Tamandua tetradactyla: one gene and its partners. The protein of the gene in region 3 purifies or fractionates together with the protein of the main gene of each other region. This does not show direct contact. Links are inferred from orthologs where the notes say so. Each region holds a gene or a part of one and is shown on either strand. Other genes may lie near its edges. The genes, in order: FAM83G, VDAC1, VAPA and RAB3GAP2.

Region 1 (7,900 bases), on a different chromosome or scaffold from region 3:
AACCTGTGGGACTTTGGGGGGGAGCTACAGGGGACCCCTGGGACTGCACAGAGCTGCTGGGCCCTAGCTCCTGCCGAGGCGATGTGGGGAGGAGGCCAGGGAGTCAGCAAGGGAGCCTCGAGTGCCCAGCCTGGCCCCGGGCACCCTTATCAGGCCCCATCACGGGGCCAGGTCACCTGTTTTTCTGTCTGGGGAAGATTAGATGCCTCTGGCCAGTTCCCAGGCAGTGCTGGAATCTGGTATCTGGTGGGGCACAGAGGTGGAGAGGGGGGTATCCCTGGGGGGGTGCAGCAGATCAGGCTCCGTCCCCCAGGGCCCCAGTTTCCCCATTTTTATGGGATCCCAACAGGCTCTCCCAGGGGACTGGGTTCTGCGAGCTTAGGCGTCAGTGATGCCTTCCTACCCCATGGCACGAGTGGGGTGGATTATTCAACCTGAGACCCACGAAGGTCGAAGGTCACTGCCCCTGCCTCCCTTCCCCCCTCCTTCTCCCCCTCCTCCTTGCCGGCACAACAGCACAAAGAGGCAGCTTCTATCCTCACCACTCCCGTTTTACAGACCCGTTTTACAGACCCGTAAAACCGAAGGTCCCAACTGCCTGGAGACTCCGGTGAGTCGGGGGAGGGGCAGGCCAAGGGCCAGGTTCCCTGACAAGGTTATCTGCCTTGGGGCTGTCCTGGAAACCTAAGCCACTTGTGGCCTCTGCCCAAGGGCTCACTCAGGTCTGTGTGTCGGCCAGGGTGGCCCAGAGCCAGCCTTCCAGTGAAGGTGAAGGGGGTAGCCTTGGCGAGTTAATACCTCCTCCGTCACGGCCTGAGGCCAGGGCACCCGCTGCTTATCAATCACTACTCAGACTGGGCTTCAGAATCCTTCTGAACACAGCCTGCTAGGCGCCTCTGTCAGCTGCATTAGGAAGTGCTCTGCATCCAAGGAAAATCACTTCTACTCAGAGAAAGAAGCACTTGCTCATGGTTACAGATGTGGCAATGGCTGGGCTGCCTCGCATCGCAAATATGTGTGAGTGGGGTACAGCCACCCACTGGGGCCCCTGCATAGCCTGCAGGGGCCAGGAAGGGGGTTCAGACAATGCTTGAGTTCCCTTCCGATGGTGAGATTCAACTCAGGTGAACAAGACTCAGCTGCACTTACTCCACCTCCCCAACACTCCCTGCACTTCTCCCAGCCCACAGAGACTCTGTTCTTGTCAGGAGGCTCAGAGAGGGTGAGCACCTCACTTGCAGATGCCCAGTGCAGCCAGGAAAGAGCCAGCTGTGAATGAGGACCTCCAGGCCAGCCTCAGAGGGACTCAGCCTCCTCTCAAGCTCTGTGACTACCCCTAGCCCATGCTCTCTCCGGCTCCCCATGGAGGCAACAGCAGGGGGCCCTGCTCCTCCTGGGGTGGGGGTGGGGGGTGGGAGGGGATGGTCAGAGCCATCCCAGGGGAGAACCAGTGAGAGAAAGTTCACCACCCCGCCGTCACCCCATGTCTGGGGAAGCTGCTGGCCAGGTCCAGGGAGCCTGGTACTGCCCCCCAACAATGCACAAAGAGCCATCAAGCCCTCTGTCACCCACTGGAGGACCCCTGTCAAGGGCCCCTCACCTTCTGGGCCTGGCTGATCATCTTTCTCACCACCTCCTTGATGTGGGCCTGCCCGTCGATGGGGGGCTGCATGTAGACCGTGGCCCGGGTCACCCCCCGGTAGGCGATGGTGTCAGGCCAGCCCAGGTCCAGCTGAGGGATGGAGCGGTCCGACTTCTGGGGCCAGTACTCCAGGGAGGGCAGCGGCTCCGCCTCGGTCAGGGTCCCGCCGCCCGCCCCGCTGGCCCCCTCGGCATGGCCGCCCGCGTCCCCCTCCTCGGGGCCCCCGCAGCGGCCAGCGGCGCGCGGGTCCTCGGAGCCGGGGTCGTACACCTGGATGGTGTCCAGGATGCGCTGGAGCTCGGGCTCGGAGAGGAAGTCGCGGATGTTCTCCCGCTGCAGCACCTCGCGGAAGGCGTCGGGGCCGCGCGCCACCAGGGCCTCCAGCGCCAGCCGCTGCCCCTCGCTGTAGAAGAACTCGGGCTTGGCCTCGCTCGAGCGCCAGTTCACGTGGCCGTCGTCCAGGCACTGCACCTGGGAGAAGGCCATGGTGCCGGCCGCGGGCAGCCGAGCCCGGCGGGGCGGGAGCCTAATTCCGGGCCCCGGCGGGGGCGCACGGCGCGCTCTGGGGCCGCCCGGCTGCCTCTGCGCCTCTGTCCATAGAAACCTGCGGGGAAGACCCGGTGAGGGCAGGGGCCGGGGGCGGGGCGCGCCGGGGCGGGTCGGGGGCTGGGGGGGTGGGGGCGGGCTGGCGTGGGGGGGTGGGAGGGGCTGGGCAGAGATGGGGACTGTGTGTGTGTGTGTGTGTGTGTGTGTGTGTGTGTGTGTGTAGAGGGTGAGAGTGGGGGTCCGAGATGGGGACTGTGTGTGTGTGTGTGTGTGTGTGTGTGTGTGTGTGTGTAGAGGGTGAGAGTGGGGGTCCGAGATGGGGACTGTGTGTGTGTGTGTGTGTGTGTGTGTGTGTAGAGGGTGAGAGTGGGGGTCCGAGGCCGGCGCGAGGGGACCCGTGTGCCTGGGTTTTGGGGTGCCAGGGGATTTCCGGAGCTCCCCGAAGTCTCAGGCAACTTCCAAGGGAAATGAGGGCAGGCTCGGGACTTCCCAAAGTTTCCAGGATTTGGGGAGCAAGAGCCTGAACTCTGGGGTCTCTGGCCTGGCCCAGCGGGCTCCGCATTTCTGGGCGCTCCTGGGAAAGGATCTCGAGATCCCAGGGTGCTAGGCATCGGAGAGCCGTAGGGCCTTCCTGGAGGGGTCCGGGGCCGGGGGACGGGTCTGGGAGCCCCGGAAGGGCGGCTGGCCGGCGGCAGCGCCTGGCGGGGGGTCCCCGGGGGTCGCGGGCGGGGTTCACTTACCGGCAGGAGCTGGCGCGGGCACAGAGCAGACTGGAGGGGTACCGCGCGGCGGCTGGGCGCGGAGGCGGTGGCGGGGGGCGGGCCCGGGCCACTGTCGCTCCGCCCATCCCGCCGGCGGCCACCTGCGGTCACATGCCTCCGGGAGGCGGGGCCGGAAGCTGATTCACCGGCAGACGTTGGGCGGGTGTGCACACCTTCTCTTAGCTGCCCCACCCACCCCCGGTGCGGGCAGCCCACGGAGCTCGGGGGTCCAAGGGCAGGAGCTCCTCGGAACACTGCGACCCAGAGAGGGTCAGTGCGCTCCCTGAGGTCACACAGCGAGTCGACGGCCTTGGAGTCCCTGCTCTGTCCCCAGGCCTTGCAAGTGGGACGGGAAGGCTGTGGGGGCTGTGTCTGCCTTGGGAGCCCCAAGGCAAGAGTAATGCAAGGTCTGGCTAACCAACCAGGAGGGTGTGTGGGGGGAGCTTTAGCTGTAGGATAGAGCAGGTACCAGTTCTGAGGCCTGAGCCCTCGGGGAAGGCGTCACCAGGGACCCTCCCCAACCCCGAGGGGGGCGGGGCACAGGCTGTGGTGGGTTGGGTGAGGCCCGCCTCTCCGCAGGCGTCCCCAGGGCTTGGGGACCCTGGTTATGGGGGCGGGGGCACATTTGAAGGCAGGCTGCCAGGGTGGGGACGCAAAGCCCATTAAACCTGGCCACCAGGTTCGTTGCATGCCACAGCCAGTCAGCCAGGCGCCGGGGCAGCCGCCCCCCACCCCCACCCCAGGTGCCTTGTATCCAAGCAGGGCTCAGGCCTCTTGGATCAAGGGAGGGGATGGGGGCCTGTTCGGTGAGGGTGGGAGACCTGGTCCCAGGTCCAGCAGTCCTCTGGTGTGTCCCTAGGACTCCAACCTGAGAGCACCGCACCCCAGGTTTGAACTGGAGTCGGACCCTCCCTGCCATCCACTGTCAGGCTTCTCCTCCTGCACACTCTCCTGCCCCAGCACCCCTGGACCCAGCACCTGCAACCTCTCCTGCCCCAGTGCCCCTGGGTCCCCCTCCCTGACCTCCAGTCTCAAGTCTTCCCTGCCACTCGGCCCCCTCCCAGGCCCCAGGGGTTGCTCGCTATCTCTGCACTCGGCAATAACCTGTGCATAGGGAGAGATTAACAGGAAGTTCTCAGAAAATGAGCAGAGGGGTCCCTGACCCCTCCATCCAGCTCCCCAGCGGTCACAGCTTACATAACTAGATGCAACATCAAGCCAGGAAAATGACCTTGGCACAACCCACAGACCTTATTCAGATGCCACCCATCTCCCAGGCACTCATTTGCGTGTGTGCGTTTGTGGAGTTTGAAGCCATTTTATCACATTTGTAGATTTGTGTAATTATCATCACAGCCCAGACATGGAGTTGTTCCTCTACCACAAAAATCTCCCTCGTGCCCCTTTAGAGCCATCCCCCCGTCTCTCCCTCTGCCTGCCCACAGCCCTAATTCCTGACAACCACTAATTTTCCCTCCCTCTCTATAATTTTGTTATTTCCAGAGTGTTATATAAATGCAATCATAAGTATGGAAACTTTGGGGATTGGCTTTTTTTTTTTTTACCCCATCCACAGAAGATTCATCCTGGATGTCGCGTCTGTCATTATTAGATCTTTCCTTTTCATTGCTGCATAGTATTCTGCGGTAAGATTGACAGACTGCAGTTTCTTTAACTGTTCGCCTGCCAAAGGACATTTGAGTTCTTCCCACGTGGGGCTATTACATATAAAGGTGCCGTGAACATTCCAGTACAGGTTTTCTCTGGGACAAACGCCCAAATGTGTGAGTGCTGGGTCATCCGATAACTGCCTGTGTTGTTTTGCTTTGTTTTGTTTAAAGAAACTGCGAAACTGCTCTCTAGGGTGGCTATATCATTTTACGTTCCCCCCAGCAATGTTCGCATCATCCAATTTCTCCACATCCTCACCAGCATTGGGTGTTATCCCTATTTTTAATTCTAGCTATTTTGATAGGTGCAGAGTGACGTCTCATTGTGGTTTTAATTTTCATTGTCCTTGTGGCTAATGATGCTGCATGTTTATTTCATGTGTTTATTTGTCATGTGTATGACATGACACCATGCCTCTTTGGTGAAATGTCTGTTCGTGTCTTGTGTCCATTTTTTAACTGGATTGTTTGGGGTTTTTTAGAGTTGAGTATTGAGAATTCTTTATATATTTTAGAGAGATGGCCCTTGCCGGGTCTGTGGTATGAAGAGATTTTCTCCAGGCAGTTAGTTTGGCTTTTCACCCTCCGCGCAAGGCCTCATGCAGAGCTAAAAAAAAGTTTTTAATTTTGATGAGGTCCAATTTATCAACTTTTATTTAAGGATCATGCTTTTGGTGTTAATTCTAAGAACTCTTTGTCTAGCCGTCCATCTGAAGATTTTTTCTGCATGTTTTTCTTATTCTAAAAGAAAAAAAATTGACCCGCTCCATTTTGAGTTAATTTTTATATAAGGTGTGAAATTTATGACGAGGGTAATTTTTTCTTTTTCTGCATGTGTGGCCTACGGGTGTCCACAGAGGATTTTTACACGGGAGGGACCAGCCTCGGAGAGTTTAGAGAATCAGTCGGATCACACAGCTCTGGAGGGGAGAGCCGGCCTCAAACCCAGGTCTGCTGGAGCCTTTGGCCTGGCCCCAGCGGCCTCGGGGATGGGCCGACTTGTTGGGGGAGAGGAGGGCAGGCAGCCCACCACCCTCCCCACGGCCCACCCTGGGCCTCCTTGGGAGAAGATCATTCAGTCAGTCAACAAATGCTGACGGAGGTTGGCTGTGTCCAAGACCCCAGAGTCGTTGTGGTGGGGGAGACAGGACAGACATGGGGCAAGAGCTATGGGTGCCGGGTCAATGTTGCTCTGAGGCCCTGGGAGCTCAGACTCGCCCCGTGAGAGGAGGAGAATGAGCATACATGCCCTGGGTTTGCAGGCTGGAACGGTGTTCTGGGAGTGGAACCAGCAAACACAGACGCCCAGAGGTGGTGGTGGAGGTGGCAGGGTGAGGGTGCTGGCGAGGGTGCAGGGATTTGAATGCATGCGGAGAGACTTCAGTGCCATCTGCAGGGGAGGGAGAGCCCCAGAAGGGTTGTGAGCTGGTGGTTTTAGAATTCCTGCAGCTGAGTCGAAGGCTCCTGGTGGGCAACAGAAAGCTGCAAGGAGCTGGCACGGAGGCCCCCGGGACCGAGTGCAGTGGCTGACCTTGGGTTCTGGCAGTGGGGATGGAGGACATGGGCAAGGAAGGGGCAGCTCCCTGGCTGCTGGTGGGGGCCCTGACCGGGTGGGGTTGGATGCAGAACCAGAGCCCCATGGGAGAGCCCCCAGGCCTGCACGCCCAGAAGACCCTCCCCAGCTCCCCAGTCATTATGGCCTGTGGGTGCTCACGGCTGAGCTGGCAAACCCAGGGAATTTTGTTGAAATGGCAGCAGGACCCGCAGCCTCTGTGAAGGAGGAGGTCCTTTCTTTCCCTGCGGCATGAACATGAGCTGGCAGTGCCCAGGGGGCGGTGCCCAGTGCCAGGAGTCAGGAAAAGGCTGAATAAACTTGGGAAGAATCTACTGACTCGGGTTTTCTGAGCCATTATGTGGCTGCGATGCCTCACCTGTCCCTCCCAGGGCCAGAGTCAGCCTGTCTAGCTCAGCGCCCATCAGGAGGGCCCAGTGGCCTCAGATGCCTGTGTGACCTGGGCAAGTTGTGCCCCTTTTGGCCCAGAATCCCCCACTTACAGAACTGGCAGGGTGGATTTAGTAGTGTCAGGCAGCTGGATCAAACGGTACCTGAACTCCTTCCTGGCTCTCTCTAGGTTCCTTTCTCTCTCTCCTCCTCTCCATCCTCCCCTCCATTCACTCACTTACTCACTCATTCATTCAATAAATGTTCCCCAGTGTCTCCGCTGGGCCCAGCCCTGGGCTGGGCGATACCAGGGACTCACGATGATTCAAACTGAGTGTCTGCTCCTGGGGAGCTCGTGGGGTGGTGGGGGAGGTGAAGAATGTAAACAAACAACCCTGATTCAGCCCTGGCCATGCTCTGCTGGAGCGCAAGGAAGGAAGCTGCCGTGCTTGGGGTGGGGGGAGCAGAGGTCCTCAGAGGACAAGCCCTTTGCGACTGGGCCTGGACTTCTGCCATAAACAAGGGTGGAGGTGGGCATTAGGCAGGCTGGCCCAGCGGGATGGGGGGTGGGGGTGGGGGTGGGGAGGCGGCAGAGTGCTGGGCGGGCAGGCGTGAGAAAATGCAAGCAGGTCAGGGTGGCTGGAGCCTGGGGCCAGGATGTGAGGGGCTGGACCAGGTGTCAAGGGCCTTGAATGCCCTGGAAAGTTTCCCCCACCTCATCCCAGGGCGCCAGAGGCTCCAGGAGCAGGGGGTGGGAAGGAGGTTCTTGAGTTGTGAGCCCAGAGAGGGTGGCCTGGAGAAGAGGGGCAGGGAGACCGGCATGAACTGGGGTTGCAGCAAGAGGGGTGGAGCCCGGGCAGGGGACAGAGGGGAGGTGGGTGGGGGAGCTGCAGGCTGGGGGACAGGCAGAGGAGGTGGGGAGGTAGGAGGGAGGCTGGGTGGGGTATCACTGGGACAAGGCGGGGAAGGAGGCGAGGTCCTGCTTGGACGAGCTCGTGACACACTGGACAGGAGATTGGGTGGGAGATGAGGATGGGGCGAAGGTGGCTGTTGCAGCCCCCTGTTGGGGGGAAGGGGTCTGAGATGGGCACCCCCAGCAGGTGAGGCCTCCCAGGGGGAGCTTTCAGAAGGGGTGCAAGAAGGGGGCAGCGCCTAGCCCAGGGGTGCTGGGCTGCGGGTTTGCAGAGCATAGCCCCAGGAGGGACAAGTGAGCCTGAGGTGGCCGCTCTCCCTTGCGATTTTGCTGGTACAGCAGGCAGGGCCCACCCACCACCCCCAGGTCGTGGCCCCTGGTCACACTTGGGGAGCAGCAAAGGGCCACGGGAGCAGCAGGTGCTGA
Region 2 (6,924 bases), on a different chromosome or scaffold from region 3:
GAAGGCAGGGATGCATGGGGCCCACCATGCCCTGCAGGAGCTCAGTCAGTGGAGGGCTGAGGCAAAGAGAAAAAAAGGCAGGCTCCGGGCAGTCTGCCCTGGCAAAGGAGGCGCCCATTTCCTTATTCCCTCTGGGGGACGCTGGTCAAGAGGATGGGGGCCTCAGATGTGACAGACCTAGGCTAAACAGAGTCCACCTCTGCATTCAAGCTTCCTGCCCCGGCCCGACCTTATCAATCTATACAGGTACAGGATTTTTTGTGAATTTTGCTGAAATTTAATCAGTGCCTTGGCACACACGCTCGTTAATAATACAGCAATAACTATGTTTAAAATCACAGGGGTTATAAGGGGGGGCAACGGTGGCTCAGTGGCAGAATCCTCACCTGCTGTGCTGGAGACCCGGGTTCGATTCCCGGAGCCCATGCAAAAAAAAAAAAAAAAAACCACAGGGGCTACATTTACTGAGTTCTTTCCAGACTACTACTATGGAGCAAAGCACTCTGCAGCATCCTCCCAAAAAGCCTCAAGGGCTAGCGTCACGGTTTTTCCAAGGCTATTTCAGTGCCAGGCCCTGTCCTGAAAGCTTCGCGTTACTAACCACCTCATTTTATTCTTCCAAGAACCCCACGACGGAGAAACATAATTGCTCCCTTTTTACAAAAAAAAAAACTGAAGTCTGGTATTTTCCCAGTTGTGTGACCTTGGGCAAATCACTTGAGCTGCGGGTCTCAAATCCACAGTCTGGCCCCGCCGCGTTTGGTGAATGAATGAGCGACCGAGACAGGAATCCCTCTCAAGGCCACTGCAACCACGCGGCTCCGCTCCCGGCCTCTTCTTCCAAGGCCTACCCCCCCCCCCGCCCCCGCCCAGGCCCAAGCCCCTGTCCCTGCGGCCTAAGTCGACTCGGCCGCCCGTTCTGCCAGGAAAGGCGCTGGAACGCGCGAGCCGCGCCGCACGCCAGCTTCTTCGGGCGTGGGCCGAGCGGGTCGGGCCGGGCCAGGGGCGCGGGGCAGCAGGCGTCACACGCGGCTCATCACCAGGGCGGCAGCGTGGCCCGCGCAGGCCTCGGGCCTGAACTGGGGCGCGTGGGCGGCGGACAGGCCCCTGCCCGGCCCGCGCTGGCGGGCTCGAGGGCCAGAGGGCACCGCGAAGGAAGGTCACCTAGACCCGCGGCCGGCCGGGCCTCCACGCGACCGCCCGTGCCCTTCCGCCCCCATGTGCTCTGCAGCGCCCACGGCTCCGGACCCCCGGCCTCAGCACCCCGCCCGGGTCCGCCGGGCCCCCGACCGCGCGGCCTCCTCGGCCGGCTGCTGACCCGCCAGGCCCGCAGGGGCCACTCCGCACTCTCCCTCGGGCTTCCTGCTAGGCCCTTGGCCTTCGCGCGCTCCTCCCCCATCTCGCCCTCCCAACTCCCCCGGGCCCAGGCCCGCGGCACCCGGCGCAGGCGGAGACCGAGCCCTTCCCCGCGGCGCCTACCTCAGAGACGGAGGCGGCGGGCTCGGCGGCGGCTACGGCGGGGGCTGCGGCGCAGAGGAACCGAGCGAGCGGCGGGGCCGGGGCGGGGCGGCGCCGACGGCGGCGGCGCGGACCCGCCCCTACCCTGCGCACCCGGCCCGGCGTGCTCCGCCCCCAGGTCCCGCCCGGGCCGCCTCCCAGGCCCCAGCCCAGGTCTACGTCCGGCCCCCCAGCTGCGCTCTGACCTCAGCGGGTTTCTCCAAGCCCCGGGCGGACGCGTGTGTGGGCGCGCGTGAGTGCCTGCGTGCACGCGTGCACGGAACGACGGGGAGGGATGGCACCGACGTGCGCACGGTGTGTGCGTGCTCGGGGACATGCGTAGCGACCGCACGAGCGGGCCGGTCATTCCTGGAAATTTCCCGCCGGGTGGGGTCTTCCGGTTAGCTGAGCCGGGTTCCCGCGCTAAAGAAAGGCGCGCGGGGCTGCGGAGAGACGCTCCCCCTGGGAATTGACGTGGAAGGCGGCGCCTGGGTGGGAGGGGTGGCCCCCACGTGCCCCCCACAGACCCGCGCGGAGTGTAACGTCGGGGTTAGTCCCGGGCCGGCGGCCGCCACTGCCGCTCCTCGGCTCCGCGATCTGGACACAATGTTTCGGGCGCCTCTGACTGTCCCGTAAGCGGCATCCGATTCTCAGAGCCTTCCCCGTCCAGGGGCGAATCGCGGGGAAGGCTCCACCTGGCACGGAGTTCGCACTGCAAATTAGCAGGTTTTCCCCCTGTTTTCCCCTGTAGTACAGCTACTAGCAGCCATTTCCCGGGCCTTTGAGGAGTGAAAGAAGTAAATTGCATATTACAAGGATGGCGACTGCTGGGTCTTACTAAGCGCGAATGTCACCGCCCATTCCCACCCGCCGGTCGAGCGCCCCGCGGGGGACCCGCGTCCAGCCTGGGCCCGGCCTCCCCGCGGTACAATGTGCCTGGGGTGAATGACGCTCGTCTCCCCGCTAGACTTCGAGCGGGTAGTGACCGAAGCTGCCAACCGAGAGTCCCGCGGGAGCCTTTCCCACGCAGACTTCGAGGGTTGATGAACTCGTGGAGATTCTGCGCACCCTTCCCCTTCGGCCAGTAAATGTCCTTAACAGCGTTTGGAGCGCCGTGTTGGAGAAGCAGAGCTACAGAGTCAGAGCGCTGGTCACGGGCAGCTGTGGCATCCGCTAAAGCAGACGACAGCTGGGGCCAGCAAGCAGGCGGCAGATTCAATAGAAAAAGCGGCAACTCGGGTTAGAAGTGGTGTTCCTATGGAGGGAAGGGGGTGAGAAAGATGGGAACTGATACACAACAGCCCTAGGCCTTTTGGGGGCTCAGAGCCCCTCCGGGTCCTAGGGAGGGGAGGGGAGAACAGAGCCTAGGCCCCTCTCCAGGCCAGTGAGTTACCTCTTTGCTAACTGGAGCCTCAGGCTTGCCAAGTTGGCTGTCCCTACACAGGTCCCAGCCCACTCCCAGAGAGGGGCGGGCAGAGAAAGCTGCTGAGTCACTCACAGTGCACAGCGAGGCAGAGTTCCGCAGGCCAGGAAGGACTTCAGGGAAGCAGAGCGGAACCAGGTGGCCCTGAGGGAAGGCGGGGCTTGAGAAACCTTGCGCTGGTTAGCATAGGAGCTCAGCTGTGAAGCTGAAAGAAATTGTCTGAGATGCTTTCTCTCCCCTGGTATGTTCCCCACCACCCCATCTTGTTAGGGTCTTTAACCTGCCCCCACCTGCCCTGACGCCCTTCCACAGCTCCCCTAGGTGCTACTTTCAGGTTAATCCCTGCATGCTCTCAGAACTACTTAGTGGCTGTGGGACTCTGAGCAAGGAGCCCAACCTCTCAGAGCTTTAACTTCAGAGGATTGTTGCAAGCTTAAAATGAGACATGTAGCAAGAAAACATTGAAGAAACTCAGCTGGAACTGGCAGGGGCGTTGAAGACTTTGGTACCTAAATGCAGAGCCTTCTCTGACCAGGTGAAATCTCAGGGAAAACTCTCCGGTGCACCACGTTTGCACTGCAAATTAGCAGTTTTCCCCCATAGCAAAGCTCCTAGCAGCTATTTTTCCAGGTATTTGAGAAATGAAAGAAGTAAATTGCTTCTTGCAAAGCAGTTGGCTGCTAGGTCTCACGAAGCCTGTGAAGTTAGTCTTTTATACCAGGTCATAACACACGCACACAGACACACCTTAGCCACACCTCCTCCCTCCCTGCCACAGCTGATTGGCATTGGGGTGGGCATCTAATTCGGGCCCAGCCATCAGGTCCTCTCTTGCAAATGTGAGCTAAGAAACCCCAAGTCAGAGTGTGTTTCTTCCTGTCCTTGGGTTTCCTTGTGCCACTTCGATAACACTCCTTGAGCTTGACCCGGCCAGGGTGCAGTTCTCCCAGCAGAACACCTGAGTTCCTAGATGGTAACTGAAGGGGGTTGTGGGGACTAGTCAGCCCTGACCACAGTTTTTCTTTGGGCAAATGACCCTTATTCCCCTCTTCACAGTCCACAAGCTGCAATGGAGCTCACCGCATCCCTGACTCCAGGGCCATTCTTCAGGTCGCCACGTGGCTCGCCCTGGCCAGTGCAGTACTGCTCGCCCTGGCTACAGGGAGGGACCAACGAGACCAGTAAGACTTTTCTCAGGGCTGTTGAGAGAAAGACTTCCCCTGAAAGTGATGCCAGCCCACAAGACAGAGGCAGAGCTCAAGTCCTGGGGACATGATGCTCCTGGAGCCAGCCAGGTATAAAGATGCACCCTGTGCTTTCCAGCCACCTGAGCCAATCAATTCCCTTTTTGCTTAGCCCACCTTGGGTTGAGTTTTCTTCCAAGTCCTAATTCAGTTCTCCTCTCTTCAAACAAAACATAGTACAGCAGTCAGGGAAGATCTTTCTTTTATTTTTAACATTGAAATGGGTTACCAGAGTAAGAATACTTTATTGTAAGGAAGTTCTTTCTTATATCTAGCAGTCATAGGGCTTCTACTGAAGATATCTATCAAGGTGGAGAGCAGCCAATCACCTTCCTAAGAACCTGACCCCTTCCCACCTGTGCTGATTTAAAACTATCATGTACCCCAGAAAAGCCAGTGTTATTTAATCCAGTCTTGTAGGAGCGGACCTGTTGTAGGGTGTGACCTTTTGATTTGATTCTTTACCGGAGTCCTTAAAGGAGCTCACAGAGAGGAAGAGTTCAGAGCTGACAAGAGAGCAGAGATCTAAAACCAGACACAGACATTTGGCAATGTAGAAGATGCCAGAAGCCCCAGGAGAGATGAGAAGCTGAGAGAGACATTTGAAACCAGAAGCCAGGAGAGGACAGCAGATGTCACCATGTATCTTCCCCTGTGACAGAGAAACCCTGGACACCATTAGCCTTTTTTTCAGAGTTAAGGTATCCTTATCTGGATGCCTTAATTTGGACGTTTTCATGTCCTTAGGACTATAAACTTGTAACCTGATAAATACGTTTGTAAAAGCCAATCCATTTCTGTTATATTGCATTCCAGAAGCGTTAGCAAACCGAGACAGCACCCTTCTTTCAGGGCCAAAGGTCCTGGTACCACAACATGATTTCTTAGCGTGGTCCATGGATGAGCTCCGTGAAGGCAGAAATGGAAGGTGCAACTTATATAAATGGTTATTTAAAGAGAAAAAATTTTCTGCTTGTAACCAGCATCAATTAGTTTTATTACAAAACTGAATTGTTATAAAACCTAACCTTTCTGACCGTTTTCCAGAAAAGTCATCAGACCTGAATATGGGTAGGAGGAGTCAGAATTGAGGATTTGTGGTCAAGGATGTCAGCTCACACATCCCATAGTGTGTTCTGACCCTCATCATCCGAGCAAGGACCCAGCACCCAGGTTCTGAGTGACGTGGAGAGCAGTGACCAACTGGGGAAACAGGATGGAATTCATCCCAAGATGAGGACAATAAAAAATTTTCTCATCCGTATGCAACAACTGGTGACGTCCCAGGTCTAAAATAGTTCAAAGAAATTTCAACATCATCTTCCTGGATTTTAAATTATGTATATATAAAGGAGGAGAAGAGGGAAAAAATGGAAAGAAATTTAATATTAATAAAAATTGTAGCTTCAATTTATGTGACTATGAATGATTTTTTTCCTTTGGTCTTTCCTATATATCCCAAATACTCTTTAATGAGTGTATAATACCATCATTATAAAAATAAAGAACTTTTTATTTAATTTTTGAAAAGCCAAAGAGCTTGTATAAATAGATACAATCTTCTGGAAAGCAATTAGGCGATAAGTAATAAGAATTATAAGTCCGTTCTACCCACGAGAGGCTGCGCGAAAGCAATAATCGTAAGAATAGGTGGTCATGGGTTTTTTTGTTTGTTTTGGGGTGTGTGGGCTGGGAATTGAACCCGGGTCTCCCGCATGCTGGGAAGCATTCTAGCACTGAACCATCTGTGCACCCAATAATTCTAAGTATGGGAAATGCCAGCTGCAAAACGATGTATAGTAGTCCAGGATGGAATACAGCCTGGTTTCCAGCTTGAGCAAATTGAAGCACATCCCCTCCCTGGGATGGATGTGCACATCTCATTCACAGCCTTGAGAAAATATGGTTACAAAGACTTCACATGGGAAAAAAATCCTGCTACAATGTTAATTGAAGGCAATCTTATATTCAGTATTACTGCAACCACAGCATTAAAAATGTAGAGGTGAACTGCCGTAGAGAATAATGGCACACACCCCCCCCCCCATAAAATTGTTGTACTAATTTCCTATGGCTGCCGTAACAAAGTATGGCAACAGAAATGTATTGTCTGGACGACTTGAAGCAATAGAAATGTATCATCACACAATTCTGGATGCTAGAAGCCCAAAATCAAAGCATGAGCAGGGCAATGCGCCCTCTGAAGGCTCCTAGGAAGAATTCTTCCTTGCCTCTTCCAGCTTCTGGTAACCCCGAAGTGTTCTTTGGCTTGTGGGCGCATCACTCCATCAGTCTCTATCTTGACATGTCTGTGTCTTCTCTTATAAGGAAGACTGATTTAGGGCCCGCCCTAAATCCAAGATGATTTCATCTCAGATCCTTAACTAATTACATCTGCAAAAGCCCTATTTCCAAATAAAAGTCTCTCTAAAAAAACGCTCATGGTAATGAATACACAACTATGTGATGATATTGTGAGCCATCGATTGTACACCAAGTGTGGAATGCACGGGTGTGAAGATTTCTCAATTAAAAAAAAGAAAAGAAGGTCTCATTCTAAAGGTCCGAGGGATATGAATTTCAGGAAGACACTAACCAACCCGCTGCATCCTAGTCTACGTCCTAGTCTCTGGAACCTATGAGTATGTTACAGCACATGTCTAAAGGGTCTTTGCAGATGAGTTTGCTTTTAAGGATTTGGGGATGAGGAGAGTATCCTGGATTACCCAGGTGGGCCCAGTGAAGGCACAAGTTTTCTTC
Region 3 (7,853 bases):
ACAGAAAACTGTACAACACAGTGAGCCCCAATGTAAACTATGGACTATAGTTATATTATAAATACTATAAGTATACTTCATCAATTATAACAAGGTACCATGATAATGCAAAGTGTTGATAACTGCGAAAACCGTGTACACAAAGGGGTATATGAGAACTTTATTTTCTGCATAATTTTTATAAACCTACAACTTCTCTAATAAAAAGAAAAAGGCGGGGGGGAGTATATGCCAAGCATTCTTTCACATCAGTGAGTTTACTCAACCATTGTCTTTGGCCATTCTCCCCACTCCCTACCACCCACCTACCATAGCTAGTCTCTTCCTTTAAGGCTTCCTACTCTAATGTGAGGAGGAAGTAGAAAAGAAGCGGGGCCCTCTTTTCTTATAGATATGTTTGTGCCTCTGTTAGAGCATCTTCCTGCCTTTTTTGTCTCCCTGATTAGTCTTGGAAGTTCTTCAAGGGCAAAGACAAAACCTAACACATTTTACTGTTTTTTAATTGTATGCCTTCCCCATTAAACTATGAACTAACCATGGGAATCTTTTCTCTACCTTGATTAGCAATGACTCCCCCAATATAAGCTGATACCTGCTGAATGAATTACTCATTGCTGAACATCATTAATCAAATGTAGTCATCATGTAGGGTTTGGGGTTGTTTTTTAACCTACTATTATTTCTTTTACTATGACAGCATTACAACCACTCTAGGAAGAAACCTTCAAACTGTGGACAATTCCTGGCCTAAACTGGTTTTTAAATGCTTCTAACCCAACACACTGGTTATCAGATAAAGGAAATGTTCTCTTTAAATTCAGGCTGTCAAAAGACGAAAACAAAATATTTAAACTGCAGAAAGAACACACATAATAGTTTACATTAAAATTCCTCAGCTTATGATAATCGATATTTGAGTTAGATAATTTTTGGATTCCTCAAAAGTTTTTTTTTCAGCTAAAACTATGGAAAGTCATGCACTCACTGCACCTCAAAATACTTCTTAGAGTTGTCTATAAAATCAAATCCTTACCTAACAAGCAACTCACATTACCATTCAAAGAAATTTACAAATGTACTAAGAGAACTGCAAAGTTAAAAAGTTATGCAATACTCTCATAATTCCAGAGTGAAAGAGAAAAGAACTTGCTAAAACTATTCCAAAAAAATTTTTTAATTTAAAATTTTCTATGGAAAAATGATGTATTTTTTCCTTTTGGATACGACCTTATACAACAATAACTTCTCTTAACGCTGGAACTGCTATACACCTTACAAAATTGTAAGCTACTGAAACTGAAATACAAGATAACGACTTCCAAAAGGGAGCTCACTCTATACTTAGGATAAAAGAGTCTACTCAAGAACGTCACAATCTTTCAGCAGTTCTTTTAAAAAAAAATCCACAAATGTTCATTTTTTAATTTCCTTCCCTAAACTACCCTCCGTCTACATACTGAAACGCAAACGGACGAAATAGCCCCCGGATTCCTCAAGCACCACTAAGTTAGACTAGTAAGTTTATCGTGGGTGTTGCTGCAAAAGAAATTAATGACGTTTACGAAGCCGAGCGAAACGTTCACAGCCTTTTCACGGTGAAGTGGGAAACCGCAAATCCAAAGGCAAATGCCACAAACTGAAGACTCCGCAGCAGAGACGCTCAGCTCAAGGGCTAAACTGAACCGGAGTAGACAGGGCTCTGCACGCAAGGTAAACTGAAATGCCACCGCGGACGGGAAGCCCCACCACCAGGACGCTCCCACCGCAGATCTTCAAGTTGGCGCCCAGCCTTCCTCCCCGCACGTCATTTACAACGAAACCAGGTAGGTGATAACCAGAAGAACTCGGGGCTCCCAACGCCTAACAGGAGAGTTATTAACTCAGTCAAGTCGAGCAGCAACACCCTCTCCGGGCAAAAGGCCGGCTGTACCCGGCGTTCCCCCGGGATGCGGACGGCGGCAGGAGGCAGAGGGACCGTGTCCCTCCGGGGCTGGGTCGCGAGCTGCGGCCTCGATGCCGAACCTCCCGCCCGGTGGACAGAAAGCCACGGGTGCAACTGGCGCCGCCTCACACGCCCTTTCCCCCGTGGACCGCAGCGCGCTGCTCTCAGGTCGCTGCCCGCCCGCAGCCTCCGAACGGCCCGGAGGTCAAAGGGCCAGCGGCGGGGACGACCCGGCCGCGGTGGGGGAGGTGCACCCCGAACCCAGAGGAGTACCCCGAACCCAGAGGAGTACCCGGGGCCAAAGGGAGCACGTCGAAGCCGACCGGGGGTAGCACCCGGGTCGGGCAGGGAGGAGCACCTCCAGGTCAGGCCGAGGGGGACAACCCAAAGCGGTCGGAACGGGAGGAGCACGCAGATGAGACCGCCAGGGACACCCCAAAGCGGCGGGGCCGGGAGGACCACTCCGGAGCGCCCGGCGGGCCTCAAGATGGCGGCGGCGCGGGAGCCAGACCCGGCCGGGAGCGGCAGCGGGAGCAGGCCGGCCCTCCCGCCCCCGGCCGGCGCGCGCACCGAGGAGCGAGGGCGGGGAGGAGGACCGCGGAGAGGGAGGCGGCGGGGCGGCGAGTGCGCCCGAGCCGGAGGGCCGCGCGTGGGGGAGGGGACGCCGCACCCGTCAGGCCAACACCCCGCGCGCCCGCCGCCCCCTGGACCCCACGCCAAGCCCCCGAGGGGAGACAGTCGTCAGCTCCACCGCGCGCTGCCCACCTTTAAATTTGAGGTCTGTGGGCGGGTCGAGGACCAGGATCTGCTCGTGCTTCGCCATGGTCCCAGAGGCGGACGCCATCGGAGACAGCGCAGAGCGGGGGCGCGCCCGCGGCGGCGGTTTGCCGGCGGGGGCAGGGAAGGCACGGGCTTGGAGACGCTCTACGGCCGAGCCCGGCTCCGGCTCCCAGCTCGCCTCCGCCTGCCGCCCTGGCGCTGCTGGGCCGGCCGCCGGACGGGTCAGCAGCTCCGGTCTCGCAACTGACTCAACCCCACACCAGCCGCCGCGGCCGCGCGCACTGCGATCCCGGCGCCCCACGTGACGGGCTGCGTGCAGACGTGCGCGCCCCCGCCGCCTGCCGCTCGGCGCTCACCCCGCCCCCAGACCCGCCCAGCACGGCGCGATCTCGATGCGTCTGCGCACTGCAGTCCTCGGCAGTGGCCGGAGCCCCCGGGCCAGCTGTCAAGGGAACGGGCGTGGTCAGGGGCGGCGCTAAGGTTTGTGGGAGGAAACGGGGCGCCCCGTGGTGCTAGAGGAGCAATATTCTCTCGCGTTAGCTCCGATTACGAAACAAGAAGCCTTATGATGGTCCCGCATCACCGTCTTCCAAGTGGCAATGCCTGATGGAAGGAAGGAGACGGAAGGCGCCGGTGAACTACAGTTCCCAGCAAGCCCTGCGTGGGGCGGAGCCTAAGCGCGGCCGGTCCCTGGAGGCGCAGCGCGTGGTGCCTGCTGGGAAGTGTAGTGTGCGTGGTCCGCGGGCGGGAAGAAGCGACGTCCGTTGAAGGCGGATGGGTGGAGCGCGCTGACCCTGCTTGGGGCTCCTGGGAGCTCTCGACCGCGCTAAAAAAGAAAAACAAATGCTTTGGAGGCTGATGAATAATATGAAATCTACCCTGTGGAATACAGGCCGGGGCTTATCAGTTTACTGTCTAAACCCATCCATCCCTGCACGGGAGAACTTGAGTCTCGGTCCTGTTCCCAGCCAGCGTCTCCGGCTCTCTGGATTCTCTCCAGAAAGGGCGAAATCACGCGGGGGAAACGCCCTCGCCACCTCATTGGGGACACTGACCGGGTACACACGTCAAATGACAAAAGTCCGAATGTACAGCGCTGCTGCTCCTTGGCTGCGATGAATGATAGCTCCAAAGCAAAAACCGGCGTCACGTTCGCTAGGAACGAATTCGCCTGCAGCACCCACGGCCGCCTGTAGTAAACTGAATAAGGAGGAAAATGCCAGCAGCAAAGTTGCTGACACATCTTCAACCGGTTGCCCGCGTGGTGGCCCGGGACAGGACCATCAAGTGAAACAAATGAACAATGTGCTGTAAATAAACCTTTGCAGTGCATCCTGAATTTAAATTCCTAGGAAGCGCCGCAAAACAAAGGACACGTTGAGGCTACTGCGATAAAGGACAAGCTAGGTTTGTGTGGAAAATAAATGAGACGAATGGAACAGTCGTCTAGACCCAGGCTGACCAAGGCTTCGTGTGCAATGCGGAGGAATAGCTGACCTAGCGTTCGCTGGAGCCTGCCCCACAACCAGAAAGAAGACCGTGGGGGGATTGGAATGCTTATGTAGTTCGAAAAGCATATTCTAACATTACCTTTCCCTTGATTTCTTTGTATTCACAAAAGGTATTTTTGAAAATTTAATTATTAAAGGAGGGTTACCAGAAGTGTATGTTTATCAAAAAGGAGCTTAATGTTTAAAAAAAGGAGGCGGGGGCTTGAGGTTGGCAGTCACTCCACTGGATGGTGTCCCACATTTGTTTAGTTGTAAACTGATGTTCCCAAAAGGTTTCACTAACTACAGTTCCTTGCTTGCCTTAGAACCTCTCCTGGGTTGGCAAGTTAGCGGAGGGAACAGAAGCCTTGGCTGAACTGGCCCCTAACCCCTCCACAGCTGGATGGAATCTCTCTTTCCAGAAAGCCTTTGGAAATTCCCAGTGTGCACGCACCCAATTAGCAGATAAAGCATGCTGAGGAAGTTCCCAGTCACTCCCCTATGGGACACTGATTTCCCACCCACCAAGTGTAACTGACTGTACCCCAATTTCCCAGTCTGTATCATTAGGAAACCTCTGTCCATCAAAGCATCCTCCAAGTGTGTCCACAGTTTTCCTCTTTCCATCCATATTGCTTCCAAATCCTATAGGCATAGTCTTAAAATCTATACAAATCTGATATTCTAACAATACATGAAATGCCTTGGGAATAATTCCCCCATGACTGTTTTAAGGCATTGCATTCATAATGACTCAGAGCCCCCAGAGAATTGTCTACCCCTCATCAAATGGTGCTCTGTTTAAGTGGTTTATTCTTTGGGATTTATTAACACCTTCTTCTAGCAGTTCAAAGAACTATACAAACATCATTACAGGCTACTCAGGACAACCTTGCAGCAGTTGGAAAGGGTTAATTTGGTTATTAAATATGGATATGAAAACACAGGTGAGGGCCTCTCAAGCCAGTACTAGAGTCAAACTTAAGGGGTAAAACAAAACCCTATTTTCCATCCTGTGCATTTTTGCTCTTCCCAAAGCCACAAAAAAAGTGACAATGCTAAGCAATTAAGACAGCAGTTTAAAATGCAATTGACTTATCTGTTAACATTTAAACTAGGAACAATGACAAGTTTGGCCTCAGGTTTGTTCTGTTCACTTAGAAGTTCAGGTTTGTTCTGTTAGCAAAACGTATATATACTTCCAAGCCCATATCTTTAAAGACCACTTTTTAATGTGTCTCAGAGGTACGAAGGCCTCGATTATTACTTTGGTCTATTTCTATCACCAGGAGTGTTCACCTTTGGACAGATTATCTCTTAGGAGCTTGGCAAAGATCCACAAAAACAGTTTCCAAAACATGGTAAAAAGTATAACCATCTCCATAGTTAAACATATTACACTTTACTAAAGAGGTGCTCTAGAATATTTAATTTGTTTATGATCAATTCCCTGAGTAGGTCAATTCCATAAATGCTAAAAAGGACTTGCTTTCAATAAATACTGTGTCACGCAAGCACACAGGCTTTGGAGCTGAACTGTTAGATCCAAATCCCCTTTTCCACTTTGTGACCTTGGCAGCTTACTTCACCTCTCTGTGCATGTTCTACATCTGTAAAATAGGGATAATAACAGCTGAACCGCTGTACAGCTTCATTAAGAGGATAAATGAGTTAAGGCACAAGAAAGCTGAATGCAGTGCCTGGTTTGGGCACTGGTACTTTATCAATGTGGAACACTAATTTACTGGTATTGTAACCCATGTCCTGCTGGCAGAGGTGCCAGCTGAACCCCGATCCAAGTTCCATAGTCTTTAAACTAAAAGAATTCAGAGATGAGAGGGCCAGTAGGCATAAGTAAAGTTTATTGAAAGAGACATTTATTAGAAAGAGAGAGTACACATTAGAGAGGTTAATGCAGGTGTGCCCACAGAAGGGACATGCCCTGAATGGAGTAGGCCAGCTTGTTTTTTGTTTGGTTGGTTGGGTGTTTTTTTGCCTGGGCAGTCATCAGGAATCAAACCCGGGTCTCTGGCATGGCAGGCAAGAACTCTGCCACTCAGCCACTATTGCCTGCCCCCAGCTTGTTTTATAGGAAAGTTTTACCAGTGGCAGGTTTCCACAGTGACCTTTGAATAGTACGTGTCTTCTTTGTTCTAGGAGGAGACAGCTAGCAGAATTAGTGGTTTGTTGTCACATACCTGAAATTTGTCTTTGGGCAAATGGTTAACAATCTTTATGACATTGTGCTTGCTATTATTAACTAAGAGTTTGCTTTGGGCCCAGAATTTTACAAGTTTTTATGGTTTGAGGAGGTTTCAGTAGTTTTGGGAGGTTTGGGGGCGTTTGGGAAATTTTTGTTGCAGGAAGTCTGCAGCTGAAGTTTGCAGCTCTGTATAAGTTCTTTTGGAGTTAGGTAAGAAACAAGAAACTTGCAGTTGTCTGTTAACTCTTTCAGAGTTGAATAGGAGACCAGGGACTTACAGTTGTCCTATTTTATCCAGCTTCATCATGTGCCTTGCACCAAGATGCTAATGATGTACCAATGAACCCATAGACACGACCTTGTCCTTAAAGGCTGACACTCAAGCAGGAGAGACAAATATGAAATAACTAATATTGCAATTATTTTATCTAAATTGTGGTAAGCACTAGGGCTCAGAAGTCTGATGTTGTGCAAATAGGTCTGGGGTTGGGAAGAGCTACCTAAGGAAATGACAAGGCTGTGTTCTGAACGATTACTTAGTATGCAAGGCAAAGGGCACAGTATAAGCACGGTACATTCTAAGTCATTGAAAAAAAGGCCAGTGTGCTACAGTGAATAAATCTGGCAGTGAGCAGCAGACGAAGCCAGAAAAGCCAAGTTATGTGGCTTATTTTAGGCCATATTAAGGATTTGGGTCTTTATCCTAAGAAAATGGGAAACCAACCAAACATTTCAACTATGGAGTGAAATGGTCTTTAACATACCTCTGAGCTACAGCATGGAGGTTGGATTAGAAGGAGTAAGAGGAACTATGGGAAGAGCAATTGGGACTATTGCTGTAGTTCACATGGCAGGATGGCATTGTAGAGGGTAGGAGTTTGAGCCACAGTAGATGCCCTGGAAATGGGGAAAACTGGATGGATTTCAGAGCTATTTAGGGAGTAAAATCAATAGGGTTCAGATATGGATGGATTTGGAGGGTGGTGAGAGAAAATGAGATCTAGAGGATGTTTCCCCTACTTCCAGCTTGTGTGGGTGGATAGATGAGGTGCCATTTCCGGAGAGGACAAGCTTTTGTTGTTGGGAGCTGGGAAGGGAAGATCACAGGTCAATGCAAGATGCCTTGGAGATAAGCAATGGGATGTTCTCATTGGAGCTCAGAGGAAAGAGCTCTGGGCTGAAAATTAAATCAAGTCCTAAACATGCATGGGAACTGAAGTCATCTAAATGGATGAGATCACCTGATACAGATAGAGAAGCAAAGAGAGCCTTGTACTGTTTGGGGGAGCTGCAATTTTTAAATACCTCCTGTTTTAGTCTGCGAGCTGCCGGAATGTGATATACCTGAATAGATTAAAAAGGGGAATTTATTAAGTTGCAAGTTAACAGTTGTAAAGCTGTGAACAACAAGAGAGTACCTTAATTCAAGAAAGGCCAA
Region 4 (6,955 bases), on a different chromosome or scaffold from region 3:
TAGCCAAATGTGGCTATTTAAATTAAAATTAAATTAAATTTAAAAGTCAGTTCCTCTGTTGCACTGGCCAGATTTCAAGGGCTCAATACACACATGCGGCTAGAGGTTCTCATACTTGACAGTACTAGATATAGTGATGTAATAAAGAAATAAAAGAGAGCCACAAAGTCAGTGGGGTAGAACTGACTTTAAAGAAGGTCAGAAAAGATCACCTGGAAGAGTCAATATTTGAGCTCAAATTTGAATGACAAGATGCAGCTGAGGCTGCAAAGATTTGCGCAGAGTATCCAAAGCAGAAGCAACAGCAAAGGACTCATACAAATAAGCTTAGCTGTTTCAAAAACAAGAAGAGTGCCTGACACAAAAGAAAGATGAGGCCTAAGAAATGGCAGGAGGCAGAATCTCAAGGACCTTTTAAGCTATGTAAGAACTCTGGATTTATATTAAGAGCAATGGAGAGCTATGGAGGGTCATAAACAGGGAAATGTCATCTAATTAATGTCTTAAATAGTCACTGTGACTAATTTGTAATAATTACAAGGAACCAAGAGTGGAAGTGGAGGCCCTGTCAGAAGACTGGTACAATAGCACAGGTGAGAGAAGATGATTTGGACCAGGGGAGTAGCAGGAGGATAGAGAAAATGTGTTCCTTTTCTCTAAATTCCCTCTATCTACATTCCTATAAATCCTCTCCTTGACAGCCAAGCTTCTTAAAACAATCACCTTCATTTTAACTCCTCAAACTCCTGCAATATGCCTTCTACCCCCAACATTCCACTGAAACCGTCCTAGGCCCCAGTCACTTCCAACATTCCAAAGTCAAGGAACACTTTTCTATCTTTAACTCACCCGGCTTTTCTGCTGCATTTACAACTGCTGACCACTCCTCACCTTCAGCAAATTCTCTCCTCCCTCAGCACCTGGAATGTTACGTTCACCTGCTTTTCCTCTCTGATCCTCCTCCTTCACCTTCCCAGTAACCTCTACTTGACCCTTAAAATTCAGTGCTCCTCGGAGGTTCCAACTTCAGGGCTCGGTTCACTTCATGGTATATATAATCCTTGAGAGACTGAACTGACACTTCTTTGCTTGTAACTCCCAAATTAAAAGCTCTGGTCCTGGATTCCCTACCAAGTTTCAGACCTCTATATCTAATGTTCTATTTGAACTCCTCATTTGAACAGGCCAAAACATTTAAAATGCAAAGGGTCCAAGTCTGTCTTCTTCATTGTATACCCTTGCCAAAGTAAAGGAATGCTAAACTCCTTCTCACTTACCAGATACCTCCCCATCCTACTCCACACCAGACCTTCCCTAGGTAGGTCCTGCAGATTCTACTTTCTTAATCGCTCTCTAATCAAGACCTGTCCTCTCAAACCCTGCTGCGGCTATTTTAGTTCAAGCTCACATCCTATCTTTTCCTAGGATTACTGAGAGCACCTCACAACCATCTCCCTGTTTCCTCCACACTGCTGCCAGGGCTCATAATAAGTATCAGTAAACTTTTGTTGCTTACACTAAGTACAAATCTAAGTCTTTTTTGGTTTAAATCTTTCAGAACACCCCACAACTTTCACAGGACTCCCCATGATCTAGAGTCTTACTAACTGCAGCTTTCCCTCCCACACTCTTCCCCTCATCTTCCTCTCCACCCATGCAGCTTTTCTTAGCTTTCTATATATCACTTCATTTACCTCTGCACATGCTATTATCTCTCCCTTATTCATTTAACTACAACTTAAAGGTAAGGCTTAACCATCACAACTTCAAGGGAGGCTTCCGTAGCACCTCACATATATCTCAATCATATTATATGGTAACTGCTGTTTGTTTTCCCCACTAACCCTACTAGAGGCCAGGGACCTCCAACCTTATTTGTTTAAATAAACATTCAGAATGGAAATATGAAGAAAAACACAGAAAACATTCCTTTGCAAAAGAGAAATGCAGGAAATTCTCAGGAACGCAGTATCTAATAAACCAGCCTTGGAATTTTATATTACATTCAAACAAGCAAGTGTTTATTGAACACAACTGGATGGCGATGAGTGAAAGGTTTTTCACGTCAATAAAGTAAATCAACTTTTCTCGGTCATATTACTGTAATTTATGTTCCTGATGTAAATTCTCATTCCTCTAAACTAACAGGTTATTCTCCTTATTTGGGAGACACTCACCGCCTTAGGAGTCATCACTTGGCCACCATTTATTCTCTAAATCTGAATGGGGTAAAGGGAATAGAAGAACGGCGAGGGTGGGCCGATAACGACACTTTCAGAAGGGAGGTGGCAGAAAGCCACAGCCCCGGGAATGGAGAAGCCTCTGGGTTGGAGTGCTGCCAGGGTCGTGCGCTGACAGCTGGCAAGTGATGGGGAGAAGGATGTGACCACGGAGGGGTCGGTAAGGAACAAGAGACCCTGGGTTTGAAGGGAGGGGGAGAGGAAGAGGAGACTTGGAGAGAAAGCTTGGAGTAGGGGGTGGGGAAGCAGGCTAGGCAGAGGCGAGAGCAGGAAGCAAGGCGCAGCTGTTGGCCAGAGGGCGAGGCGGTTCCGGACAAAAGCTGAAAAAAGCGAGCGAGCAGCCCGACGCCGACAGTCCGACGGGGCTTGAAGACGCGGCGGCAGGAGATTATCAAGGAGCGAAGGGGGAAAGGGGGGAGGCCCGGAGGCCCAGAGGGCAGAGGCGGGCGGCGCAGGGCCGGACAGAGACCCGAATCCCTCAAGCAAAGGCCGCGGGCGCGGCGGGGGTGGCCGACGGGAAAAGGAGTGGCCAGGTGAGGGGCACTTACTGGGGTCCCTCCGCACTCCACCGCTGGGGGGCTCTTCCCGCAGGTGAGGGAACAGGAAGTCCCGGGCGGCCTGGAGGTCCTGGAAGTAGCAGAACTGGACCAAGGAGCAGGCCATGGCTCCAGGAAACCGCGCTCTGGCGCTGCTTCACCTACCCACGACCCCCAACACCCCTCGGCTACTCCCTCGGTGCCCGGACAACTCGGGCCACGCAGGAGGCGGGGAAAGCAAACCGGAAGCTGTCGGCGCACTCCCCGGCTACCGCCCCGGAGCACTGCGCGTGCGCAAAGCGCCGAGGCCCGCCCCCCGGAAGGCGAGGTCTGAGTCACGTGACAAGAGGGCGTCCTTCCCGAGGGTCTCACGTGGACGTGACGGCTGGGAGCAGACGTTCCGTGGCCGTTCTCCGCCTACGCCGGGAAGTGACCCAGGAACACAGCTGTTAGCCAGAGTTGAGCTCCCTGGATGGTGGCCACAAGAGCTTTTGAGTCATTCAACCAGTCTTATTGATGTCCTGTTATTGGCACGATCGTGATAATTCACAGAAAATAATTCGGGTTAAGTCAATGACAGTACAGTGGGGAACGGTATCATACAAGTATGGAATTCTAACAAGACTGATTTATCTTCCGGAAACCAATTCCATCCAGACTGGCTTTAAATGACCCACCTATAAATTCCCCTAGTATTGTGCATGCCCGATATGGTGTGTGTTGTACTGTGTTATATACTCTGGTTGCTTTTTCATTTGTTCGTTCATCCATCCATTCAACAAATGTTTGTGGCTAGTCTCTTTATGTCAGCCACGCAAGGTGCTGAGTGTAGAGCAGGGAACAGAACAGATGAAGTACCTGTTCTCGTGAAGGTAAAATTCTAGTGACTGACACAGGCACTAAGCAATTAATGGAAATTAAATTAAAATTAAAGGAAATTCTAAGAAATGATGATCATACATCTATGTGATGATGTTAAGAATTACTGATTGCATATGTAGAATGGAATGATTTCTAAATGTGTTAATTTCTTTTTTTCTTTAATTAATAAAAAAAATTAAAGGAAATTGTGGTAAAGTTGAGAAAGAAAAGTCTGAAGTGTTATGACGGTATAACAGGGAGGCCTGCCTAGTTGCTTTCGCTTTGTTTTATTTGTTTTGATTTGATTTTGGCGGGGGATGTCAGGATCAGGAACAGATTTTTGTTGTTGTAAAGTACTGGAGGGTCGGGTTCTCATTTAACTCTACCTTGTATCCCTAATATCTAGCATAGGGCATGCTGCATAGCCAGTTCTCAATAAAAGTTTGTTGAAGGAATAAATGAAATGGAATCTGTGCATGAAGTAAAAACCTCTTTCCTTTACAAAACTCTTTATATCTTTTAAAGTACTTCCTTGTATATTGTTCCATCATATGGTCACATTGCCTTTGTGAAACAATGTATATTATCCTACTTTTTTAAATGAGGAAATTGATCTAAGTGTCTGAGAGGATTCTTGAACCCATTTAAGTTATTTTTCTGAAAAGTAAAAACCAAAAAAGAAATTACTTAGTACAAAGGACTATAAGCACTCATACTCTTCGTAAAGGAAACCTAAAGAGATAATCTACTTTTTATGAGAGAGAAAATCACACAGGGATAAACTGCAGGCAAATAGATGGGTCTGGAGCATTCTTTTCTGTCAAGCCTGTGTACACACTTAGTCCTATTCACATAACAACTATATTTAATACTTAGGTACCTACTCCATTAATTCCTGTTTGTAGAAAAAATGATTTTCACAAAAGAATGTAGATAATTTTTAAATTGGGTTACAGGGTTGGATTATATGTCCTATTACAGGTTGGATTAGAGGGTCCTCTTTAGCATGAGGGCTCTGTAATTCTATCATCAAAGCATGCAGAAAGGCAAGTTTCCAGTGTTCCTTTTTTCCACCTGAAAAAATGCAGTGCTTTCTTAGATCACCACTCCGTAGAATAATCCAGTTCTGATGATGATCCCCTAAAATATGTGCAAAATACTGAACTAAAATAAAATTTAAATTTAGATCTTTAGCCTTACTGGATGAATAGGAATACAGGACACTTTTTAGAAGAAGACAGTGTCATTCCTTGACAATCATTCAAGTCCCTCTTCAGGTAAATGCATCTTGTGGAAATAACTCCCCATGGCTAATTCTGCTGCCCTTTGTTCTGCCTGGAAGCATTCATTTATTTCTGATGTGGCAGTCATTGAGTTTCATTATTGCGTTAGCTCAGTTTCAATGGTGAAGTCCCTGACGTCCTTCCAAGAGGCATTGAAAAGATTCATTCATGAATGTTTTTAAGGACTTTAAGATACCCTTCACGGAAATTATGAAGCATGAACTGAACTCAGCCTTCAGGAAGTTGTAAAGCTACAGGGGCTGCTTCTGGAGTTCTGCTGCCATGGTTCAGGGGAGTGTGGGAGGATTGTGTCAGACAGTGAACCTCGCCAACTACAGTGTCTTTAGAAAGGACTTTGCAGAAAACACGCAAGCTTTATATATCCCAGTGTAGACAGTGTCTCTCTGAGGTGTGAGCTCAGGAGTTAGGAAAAGGGTTTTGTCCAAAATAATAACTGGAGAGTTGCTGACACTATCATGGAATTTCTCCATTATTCATTATTAATTTAGGTCATTAATTTGAGAGAGGCTTTCTGAGGATGTTAACATCAGGTCCTTGCTAATCTTTAACAGCACCCCAAAGCCAAAGGGGTCGAGAGGCAGAATGGGAAGCAAAGTGTGAAAGAAATAGCAACAGACTTGGACTCAGGAGACTTAGGGCTGTCCCAAGTTCTGCCACTAATCAGGCTCATTTATGTTGCCTTTCTGGGCCTTATCTTCTTTGATCTATAAAATGAAGAAGCTGGGGGCCACGGTGGCTCAGCAGGCAAGAATGCTCGCCTGCCATGCCAGAGGACCCGCGTTAGATTTCCGGTGCCTGCCCATGTAAAAAAAAAAATTCAACAAATGGTGCTACAATAGCAGGATACTCACATGGAAAATAATGAAATGTGACCCTGCCATACAGCATACAAAAACAAAAAAAAAGGCAAAAAAAAAAAAAAATGAAGAAGCTGGGCTCTAAGGTCCATCCCAAGGATGTGTAGATTTTGAAAGGAAGGAAAAAGTCTGGTTGGAGTTACCCAGAATGGTTGGAGTAGCCCAGAAGGAGTAGATTATGCAGGCACCCCATTAAGAGTGCCAGGTGGGAAGGGGTGAACTTGAAGGCACAGAGCATCTCTAAGTGAAAGAAAAAAGAGCAGAGAAAAGGGAATGGAAGGTCAGTGAATCTTTACCTGATGGCTTTGCTGAAGGTCATCCTTGTATTGACGTCTGTGAAGACAGAAGCAAGGGCTATATACAACTAGTTTTTATTCAATAAAGATCTATGAGCGTTCTCAGCGAGCAGCTGCCGCTGCCGCCGCCACGTGCGGGGCTAGAATTCGGAATCCCTGCGCCTCGTTAACAATGAAGCAGAGTTCGAACGTGCCGGCTTTCCTCAGCAAGCTGTGGACTCTGGTAGAGGAGGCCCACACCAACGAGTTCATCACCTGGAGCCAGAATGGAGAAGTTTTCTGGTTTTGGATGAACAAAGATTTGCAAAAGAAATTCTTCCCAGGTACTTCAAGCACAATAACATGGCAAGCTTTGTGAGGCAACTGAATATGTATGGCTTCCGTAAAGTAGTACATATCGACTCGGGAATTGTAAAGCAGGAACGAGATGGTCCTGTTGAATTTCAGCATCCTTACTTCAAGCAAGGCCAGGATGATTTGCTGGAAAACATTAAAAGGAAGGTTTCCTCTTCAAAACCAGAAGAAAATAAAATTCGTCAAGAAGATTTAACAAAAATTATAAGCAGTGCTCAGAAGGTTCAAATAAAACAAGAGACTATTGAGTCTAGGCTTTCTGAATTGAAAAGTGAGAATGAGTCACTTTGGAAGGAGGTGTTGGAATTACGAGCAAAACATGCACAACAGCAACAAGTTATTCGAAAGATTGTCCAGTTTATTGTGACATTGGTTCAGAATAACCAACTTGTGAGTTTAAAACGTAAAAGGCCTCTACTTCTAAACACGAATGGAGCCCAAAAGAAGAATCTGGTTCAGCACATAGTCAAAGAACCAGCTGATAATCACCATCATAAAGTTCCACAC

What was found.
Region 1: the proteins of VAPA (region 3) and FAM83G purify together in Homo sapiens (co-immunoprecipitation; 3 studies listed by BioGRID and IntAct, counting the BioPlex papers as one, with this or other methods). This does not show direct contact. The link is inferred for Tamandua tetradactyla from reciprocal best matches to the Homo sapiens genes VAPA and FAM83G.
Region 2: the proteins of VAPA (region 3) and VDAC1 fractionate together in Homo sapiens (co-fractionation; 3 studies listed by BioGRID and IntAct, with this or other methods). This does not show direct contact. The link is inferred for Tamandua tetradactyla from reciprocal best matches to the Homo sapiens genes VAPA and VDAC1.
Region 4: the proteins of VAPA (region 3) and RAB3GAP2 purify together in Homo sapiens (affinity purification with mass spectrometry; 3 studies listed by BioGRID and IntAct, with this or other methods). This does not show direct contact. The link is inferred for Tamandua tetradactyla from reciprocal best matches to the Homo sapiens genes VAPA and RAB3GAP2.

Annotation. Positions count from the first base shown.
Region 1 is NC_135332.1:2,152,041-2,159,940, forward strand, and holds the start of FAM83G (protein FAM83G), read right to left. Parts: upstream 3,001-7,900; 5' UTR 2,929-3,000; intron 2,247-2,928; 5' UTR 2,129-2,246; coding exon 1,601-2,128; intron 1-1,600. UniProt on the Homo sapiens protein: Substrate for type I BMP receptor kinase involved in regulation of some target genes of the BMP signaling pathway. Also regulates the expression of several non-BMP target genes, suggesting a role in other signaling pathways.
Region 2 is NC_135346.1:13,052,830-13,059,753, forward strand, and holds the start of VDAC1 (non-selective voltage-gated ion channel VDAC1), read right to left. Parts: upstream 3,015-6,924; 5' UTR 2,996-3,014; intron 2,984-2,995; exon of another isoform or gene 2,891-2,983; intron 1,568-2,890; exon of another isoform or gene 1,480-1,567; intron 1-1,479. UniProt on the Homo sapiens protein: Non-selective voltage-gated ion channel that mediates the transport of anions and cations through the mitochondrion outer membrane and plasma membrane.
Region 3 is NC_135344.1:73,602,701-73,610,553, reverse strand, and holds the start of VAPA (vesicle-associated membrane protein-associated protein A), read right to left. Parts: upstream 3,015-7,853; 5' UTR 2,787-3,014; coding exon 2,708-2,786; intron 1-2,707. UniProt on the Homo sapiens protein: Endoplasmic reticulum (ER)-anchored protein that mediates the formation of contact sites between the ER and endosomes via interaction with FFAT motif-containing proteins such as STARD3 or WDR44.
Region 4 is NC_135330.1:80,027,973-80,034,927, reverse strand, and holds the start of RAB3GAP2 (rab3 GTPase-activating protein non-catalytic subunit), read right to left. Parts: upstream 3,026-6,955; 5' UTR 2,904-3,025; coding exon 2,789-2,903; intron 1-2,788. UniProt on the Homo sapiens protein: Regulatory subunit of the Rab3 GTPase-activating (Rab3GAP) complex composed of RAB3GAP1 and RAB3GAP2, which has GTPase-activating protein (GAP) activity towards various Rab3 subfamily members (RAB3A, RAB3B, RAB3C and RAB3D), RAB5A and RAB43, and guanine nucleotide exchange factor (GEF) activity towards RAB18.